Canis lupus familiaris: one gene and its partner. The protein of the gene in region 2 interacts with the protein of the main gene of each other region in a biochemical or structural test. Links are inferred from orthologs where the notes say so. Each region holds a gene or a part of one and is shown on either strand. Other genes may lie near its edges.

Region 1 (4,273 bases), on a different chromosome or scaffold from region 2:
ATGAAGCATAGCACCTGACACATCACAGAAGCTGAGAAAAATGTTGGGTGAAGGAAAAGTCATGATCTGCACCATCCTACCCCTCTTACATAGGACTGGGGTCTTTGTATCCCCTTCTTCCACAAGTCCCCTAGCCCACTCAGCCCCACACAGGCCAGGCCTTCCCTTCTGCCACTCCCACCCACTGCCCGTGGAACCAGAGGGATGAGGCTGCAGAGAAGGGAAGCAAAGCCTCAGTTCCTGCTTTCCTGAGCTGTGTTCCACCCAGCCAGAGGCCATCTCCTTGCTGGGGAGATGAGATGCAGAAGCACTTACTGCTAATTCACTTTTTACTGTAGCCTTCCAGGGCTCATTCCAGGAAAGCAGGATTGCTGAAAAGTCATCAGTTATAAGATGCTCATTTTAAACTAGTGACAGATTCCGTTTCCTTGGTCATCAAAGAAATACCAATTAAACAATGTGATGCCCTCGACATCACATTAGCCAAACCGTCAGTGGGCATGAGATTATTTCCATAACTTGGTTCTGAGGTTGGAACACTTTCTTTGGCCCCCGTCGCCAAAACCTCAGCCATTAGAGCCTCCACTGAGACTGCTGGAGAAAACAAGACCCCCTGGGGTCATCTGTAACCCGGGGCCCCATGAGTTACACGTAGGTCCCCACCTCGGGTCTACCTCCAGTGCCGGGTGTGTGGGGAGGCCCCGCTGGCTACTGACGCTTCACGGACACAGCGCGCTGCCAGCTGCAGGAGCGCCGGGGGTGAATTTTTGCTCTATCACTTGCCTTGGGTGACCTTGAACGAGTTAATGAACTTCTTCACGCCTCAACATCCGAGTGGATGATAAAGTGGAGTGGCGAACACTGACCGCACGGTGAAGCCGCGGAGTGGAGCCTCTCACGGTGCCTGGCGGTGAGACTGTAGGTGGTGTTAAATCTCGGGGGGTGGGGGGAGAGGTCCCTCTGAGGCCACCCCAGCAGGTGTGGCTTCCCCAGGGACTTTCTGCACCGAGGGTAACTCCAGACCACGTCCCGAGAGGCAGAATTTGGGAAGCCAGGATCCTCGAGTCCTGGCTGGGGGAGCGACAGGACGGTGCGTGGAGGCTTCAGAGGTTCCCCAATTCCTTAGCCGCACCCGAAGCCGGGAACTGGGCTGGGCCGGGCTGGTCAGCCTCCGCGCCTTCCACCCCCGGCCCCGCCCTCGGCCCCGCCCTCCCCTACCCCGCGCCCCCATTGGCGGCGTCCGGCGGCGCGGCCGCTGTTATTTTTCGAATATATAAGGAGGTGGAGGTGGCAGCTGCTGCCGAGAGGCTTCCCGGACGGGCGGTCGGTCCCCGCGTCCCTCCACCCCGCCCCACCCTCCCCGCTTCCCTCTCCTCCCTCCTCCCTCGCTCCGGCCCCGAGGCTCTCCCCCCCCCCCCCGGGCCTGCTCCCCACCTCGTCCCGGGCAGCTGTGCCCCGCGTCGCCCCGCGCCCGGCCCTCCCGCCTGCCTCCTGCGGGCCCCGCCGCGATGGAGCTGCCCCAGCCGGAGCCCGCGCCCGCTCCGGCTCTCAGTCCGGTCTGCCTGGGCCGTGGAGCCGAGCGTCCCCGCCACCTCCTGGGCCTCCAGACGGGAGCTCACGGCCTCGTGGGGTCCCCGGAGCGCGCGGCCGCTTCCTCGCCGGTCACCACCCTCACCCAGACCATGCACAACCTCGCGGGGCTCGGCAGGTAGGGCGCCCCACCGACGCTGGGTGTGGGGTGAGGCCGGCACTAGGGTGTTGGTCCCTGGCCTCCTGTGGACCCCCGCGTGGGAGCCGAATCTGAGAAGCGGAGTGGGGAGGTGTCCTGGGGAGTGACTGGTTCAGGGATCTGGGACTAGGGCGATGAGGCCGGGTCTGTGCTGCCCACACCCTCCAGGTGGCTTGCTCCTGGCAGCGCGAGCCTCTGGAGACACCCGTCCCACCTACCACCCCCACACACACCCTCATGTGCCTCCACCATGCTGTCTCTCTAATCTCTGCCCTAACCACCACTATTTTGCCCCAGATAGTGGATCCTGAGCCTGGAGTGGGAAGTTGAGGGTGGCAGAGGAGCCTGGTTCTCTTATGTCCTCCTGTCTGTGCCCCTGCTCCCTCCACCCCCAGTTCTTTCTGGAGGTTAAGGGTTAAACACTGATCCTGCTTCCTGAGCAACCTGCAGTGTCCAGGCTGGGTTGCCCTCAGCAGCAGTGGAGAGCTAAGTCTTGCCCTTGCTCCAGAAAGGCTTGTGGATGAGTAGGGGTCTGAGGGGTTCCGGGAAGGGGCTACTCTGCTGCCATCCCCCAGAATGGCCCTCAACCTACCTACTTGCTCTTGCCCCGGGCTCACCTCCTGAGGAACCCAAGAGGACCTTTCTTAATAAAGAAAAGCTACTTAGGGCCTCTGCAGAAGGCCTGAAAAGAGGGCAAGACCCTCAGGGCCATTGCCTCCCTGGGGCAATGGTGGGCCCTTCAGAGGTAGGTGGGTGGTGGGCACATAGGCCAGCCAGCCCTCAAGCCCCAGTTTACCTTCCTCCTTCCCTGGGTCCCTGTTGCCTTCTCAGTGAGACCCCAAAGCGGCAGGTGGGCAGCCTGCTCACAAGCCTATCCCTGTCCCGGAGGCGGGCATCTGAATCCTCCCTGTCGTCTGAGTCTTCTGAATCTTCTGATGCAGGTGAGGCTCAGGGGTGCCAGGGGACTTAGGGGGGCTGCCTGAGTCTCTCCACTTCCTTGCTGATCAGACTAACATTTCCCCTACAACCTGGTGGGTGCAGGAGCCTCCACCTGCTCACCCCTGTTGGGGCTCACCACACCCAGCCCAGACTGGCTGAGCGGGCAGTAGGGTGGGGCCCTCTGGGGGAGATGAGATCTTACCTATTTAAAACCAGGCGCCAAAGTCCCTGAACCACAGCCCCACCTGGGAGGCATCAGGGCTGAAAGTTGGTCATTTTATAGCGTTCACTTGCCTTCAGCTGTAACCTTTTCCTTTAAAAAAGCTGTTATCTCTTCTAAAACATATTGCTTTAAACCAGTTCAAGTAAAATGCTTAGCAAAGTTTTGGTTTAAAACCTATACCGAGGAGTTTCCCTAGTAAACAGGGAGTGGAGCCTTGCACGATTTCAGGGGCAGTGTGTCAGCCCTTGAGGTTCATGCATGGGTTTCTGTTTCACTATTTTTAAGTGTGTCAAGATCTAAAATAGAAACTGGTTTCTCCCTTTTCTGAATAGAGTTGGGACATGGTGGGGGAATATGTGCAGAAGATGCCACCACTTTTAGACCAAAGTGCTCTGTCCCCCCAGGTCTCTGTATGGATTCCCCCAGCCCCATGGATCCCCAGATGGCAGAGCAGACGTGAGTAGAGAAAAGAGATCCCCACTACCAAGGAGTTGGCCCCTGCCTTTGGGAATCTTGGTTCCAGCATAAACCCACTGGGGAAGTCTGGGAGAGTGGACAGACCCTTCTAATCTGTGTGGTGTTGGGGGGTGGGGGGGGACTCGTTGATCTCAAGTCCTGAGATTCTGCTTCCTGTCTCAGAGAAGGGCCTGGTCCCAAAGGAGCAGCTGAGTGTGGGCTCAGGGCCAGGTAGTGGGGACAGTCGCTACTGGGAGCAGTGGATACTTCAGCCAGCTCTTGGCCTATGGGATATAGGCCTGGTGTGTGTCCTGTTTTTCTTTTGCCTTTACACATGTTTTGTTTGTTTTTTTCTGTGAAATATCACTATTTTAAGTTATGCTCCAACCAGTTCAAAACTTTTAATTCACTGTAGTCCAAACAAAACAGTTGCTGCAGGTTGGTTCAGCCCTTGGCTGCCCTCTCAGCAACCTCTGCCTTCAGTGACACTTAACCCTTCTGGCCAACCCCTGTTCCAGGCCCTTTGTGAGAGAGAATGGAGAGGGCCTTCTGCTCAGGACAGATCCTTACCCCTCGGTTGTGGGGCGTGAGTAGTATCTCCCGGATCACAGCTGTTCCCATCCAGCTGTTAGAGCCCCAGCAGGAAGAGCAGCTGCCAGGCAATAGTGGGGACAGCTGGGCATCCCCAAACTGGGCTCAGGGACTATGGCTTTGGGGTTAGGGTAGTGGCTGTCTTTCCTCCCACTGCCTTTGATTAGACTGGGCTGGGCCACAGGGTTTGTTCACAAACAGGAAACAGGGAGAGAACTCGGTGGGGGTGGGGGGGGGGTGGGCAGGGGAACTGCAGGTTGGGTTTTGGTGGCAACACAGAACTGTTCCTGCTTAACTCACGAGGCCCAGGTGCAGATTGGAAACCAAGCCAATAA
Region 2 (3,475 bases):
AAGTACTTTCTCTTGATCCCTGTATTTACCCTTATTTTGGATGAGCAGTAGTCTGTAAGAGACACTGAACAGCCAGCCCTGCTCTGAGCCATGCTGACTTACTTGTTCTGTGATTATATTCTTCATACTTGATGTCTTAAACATTTTGTTTCCCTTCTTTAAAATGATTGTGCCTGGCTGGCTCAGTCAGTAGAGCACGTGACTCTTGATTTGGGGGTTATGAGTTTGAGGCCCACGTTGAGTGCAGAGATAACTTATACACACACAAACACACAAACATGTAAAACTAAAAAAAAGCTGATTGCACATGCACATTTCTGAACTGATACATTCCTACTGTTCCTTCTTAACAAGTCAGAAATATCCCTTCAGGGAAATCCTGTTTAGCTAGTGGCCACCTCTAGCACAGCCAGATGCTCTCTCTGTGGTGCTACTATCCTAGATAAAGGATAAACAAGATAATGTTTCTGTATCTTACTTAAGACTGTGAGCTCCTTGAGGGCAAGAACTTTGTGTTTTCTTTATATCCCCTCTGGCCAAATACAGTGCCTGGCACCCAGCCAGTACCAAGAAATGCTTACTTGAATGAATGGATGAGTGAATAGACAAGCTCTTTATATTTAGTGTTTGATGTAACCTAGCTTTATTAGAAACTATGACTTGCTATAGGCCAAAGCATTCAACTGATGACAACTACATGACCCCTGCTCTCAGTCCATGCTTCAAGTCCAAGGTGGAATGGTTGTAGTTACTGTGGTAGTCCTTCATTGTGCTTACCTGTAATAAAATAGCTTTTTATTGGTACCTAATACTTTATCTTCCTTCTTTTCAGGAATTGTTGGATAAGTATTTAATAGCCAACGCAACTAATCCAGAGAGTAAGGTCTTCTATCTGAAAATGAAGGGAGATTATTTTCGGTACCTTGCTGAAGTTGCGTGTGGTGATGATCGAAAACGTAAGTATGTTTGGTTTATAGGTAAAGTTAAAAAAGGAAGGGAGGATAAGTGGGACACTGTGACAGTAGTCGCTATGTAATCTCCAGGTCCTCTGTAACTTTTTAAAAAATCTTGGAATCTACATACGATAAAATTAATGTAATGTGACCTTAATGTTCTAAAAAATGAAAATAGCCATGAATTTACATAATGTACTGTTTTTGAAAAATTAAACTCAAATTCTGGTGATAATCTGCTAAGATATTATTTAAAAGGCTTAATCTTGGGCGCCTGGGTGGCTCAGTCATTCAGCTTCCTACTCTTGATCTCAGCTCAGATCTGGATCTTTACAGTTGTGAGTTCAGGTCCTATGCTGGGCTCCACACTCAGTGTGAAAAATAATAATAATAAAGAAAAAATAAGAGAGGCTTATTATTACTCTTTTATACTTTAGAGTTTGGTGAAGCATATTTTTTAGCCCCCTAGTTATTTGCATATGCTTTGAGAGTTTGTGCTGTTACATGGCCTTTTGTGTCATCGTACCTTGAAACTTACTGGAAATTACAAAGAGAATATAGAAACAGCATGTTATGCTTTTTCTGTTTGACAATTTATTAACTACCTATTTTGAAGGATCATTACATTGACTACCAATACTTACAAGACCAAATTTCTGAGGAAGAGAGGTGAGTGAGAGTTTTGCTGGTATATAGTTTGTCATAGAAAATATAGATCTGGGAAAGAGAATAAATGAATTGCTAGAGTTGATTGTAAAAAGAAAATCAAAGCAATTTATTACTAGTGGACTTAGCCTCCTGGAGTATTAGTAGCTGAGTACAAGTCAGGTCCTATTAAATTTTGTGTATGTGCCTGCTATCATATTTATCAAATTCTAGTTAGAATTTTCACCCAATTCCTTATTTCTGGTAGGTTTATTAATTTGTTTTTAATTTTGCCCCATCCAAAAAGAGTGTACTTTTTCAAGTAGTTACTGTGGCTTCCTACCCTCAAAGAGGTACTAACTGAAAGTGGAACAGTTTTACCACCCCAAATATCAGTGTAATTGAAGATACAAAGAGAAAACTATTGCATCCTACTGTAACAATTTGTATACTAAACTTATTGATGTATAATTTCTGTTGTCATAAAGATAAGCAAAGCTGAAAGTAACAGATATTTGCAAGTCACAAGGATATCTTTGGGAGACTGGGACATAGCCCCAGCATTAATCTTATTTAACCCTTTCTAGCTTCCTGGCATTTCTATCCCTATCCATAGAATACTCCGGTAGACTGGGACTCATAGTCTGTATTTACAGCTTAGGAGCTGAGACCCCTTACTGCTACTCATTACAGTACTTCCTTAAATGCCAAACAGCAAGAACTCCTTACTATGTGAGGGCTCTACCAGCTATATTTAGATTAATAAGTGTGCCATTTCTGAAGAAGGAAAAATCCTTATATTCAGGCCATAAAAAGGTTAACTTTACATTTCTATTAGAGGAGTATTTCTAAAGCTGTAATGGGCCAGTGGTCTCATTGAGAAAACCTACCTACTCTTTTGAAAGCATGGCTATAGTCAGATTAGAATTGGTAACAATCACTGAACAGCTTTTTTCAGGAAGGTAACCTTTTTATTAGGCCAGTAATCAATCTCTTGTCAGAGCAGATTTTATTTTGTATTTTGACACTTTTATATTGCCTTTTACATAATACATCTTGATACCAAGGATTAGTATTGTTTTTACAAATAAGTCACAAAAAAAGAGATTTTGGTGGTATGATCTTTGTAAAGTGTTTTCATGATTTTGAGAAGAGATAGCCAAAAATTTTTTCTAGCTTTATTGAAGTATTATTGACGTGTATCGGTGAAATTATTTTTAATTGCTGCATTTCCAATTAGTAAAATTAAAAGATACGGAAAAAGAAAATTGTTTGAGTCACAGATCTGGAAAAATCCAATTGCACTATCTCATATTGGGTTTTTTAAAGCTGATTATAAGCAAGCAACATGGGACGCCTGGGTAGCTCAGCAGTTGAGCATCTGCCTTCAGCTCAGGGCGTGATCCTGGGTCCAGGGATCAAGTCCCACATTGGGCTCCCTGCAGGGAGCCTGCTTCTCCTTCTTCCTGTGTGTCTGCCTCTTTCTCTGTCTCTCATGAATAAATAAATAAAATCTTTAAAAAAATAAAAAAAGCAACATTATAAACTAGTTTCTCCATAAGCTGGTATGAGGTAATGTTTTCAGTTTGCTACTATGGTTTTAAAGGAAGGCCACAGAGAAAAATCCAGCTCTGCATGAGGTAGTAGCATAAGTTAAAGGTTAATATGCTGTATACTTGATGGATATTTTCAGTATTGTGCTTCTTTTGTCTCTCCCCCCCCCTCACAGAAACGATAGATAATTCCCAAGGAGCTTACCAAGAGGCTTTTGATATAAGCAAGAAAGAGATGCAACCTACACACCCCATTCGCCTGGGGCTGGCTCTTAACTTTTCTGTATTTTACTACGAGATCCTTAATAACCCAGAGCTTGCCTG

The links. The genes of interacting proteins can lie anywhere in the genome.
Region 1: the proteins of YWHAQ (region 2) and CDC25B form a complex in vitro, tested with the Homo sapiens proteins (2 studies listed by BioGRID). The link is inferred for Canis lupus familiaris from reciprocal best matches to the Homo sapiens genes YWHAQ and CDC25B.

What each region holds. Positions count from the first base shown.
Region 1 is NC_049245.1:18,011,404-18,015,676, reverse strand, and holds the start of CDC25B (M-phase inducer phosphatase 2), read left to right. Parts: upstream 1-1,473; 5' UTR 1,474-1,508; coding exon 1,509-1,708; intron 1,709-2,560; coding exon 2,561-2,670; intron 2,671-3,295; coding exon 3,296-3,347; intron 3,348-4,273. UniProt on the Homo sapiens protein: Tyrosine protein phosphatase which functions as a dosage-dependent inducer of mitotic progression. Directly dephosphorylates CDK1 and stimulates its kinase activity.
Region 2 is NC_049238.1:6,670,539-6,674,013, reverse strand, and holds part of YWHAQ (14-3-3 protein theta), read left to right. Parts: intron 1-832; coding exon 833-956; intron 957-3,327; coding exon 3,328-3,475. UniProt on the Homo sapiens protein: Adapter protein implicated in the regulation of a large spectrum of both general and specialized signaling pathways. Binds to a large number of partners, usually by recognition of a phosphoserine or phosphothreonine motif.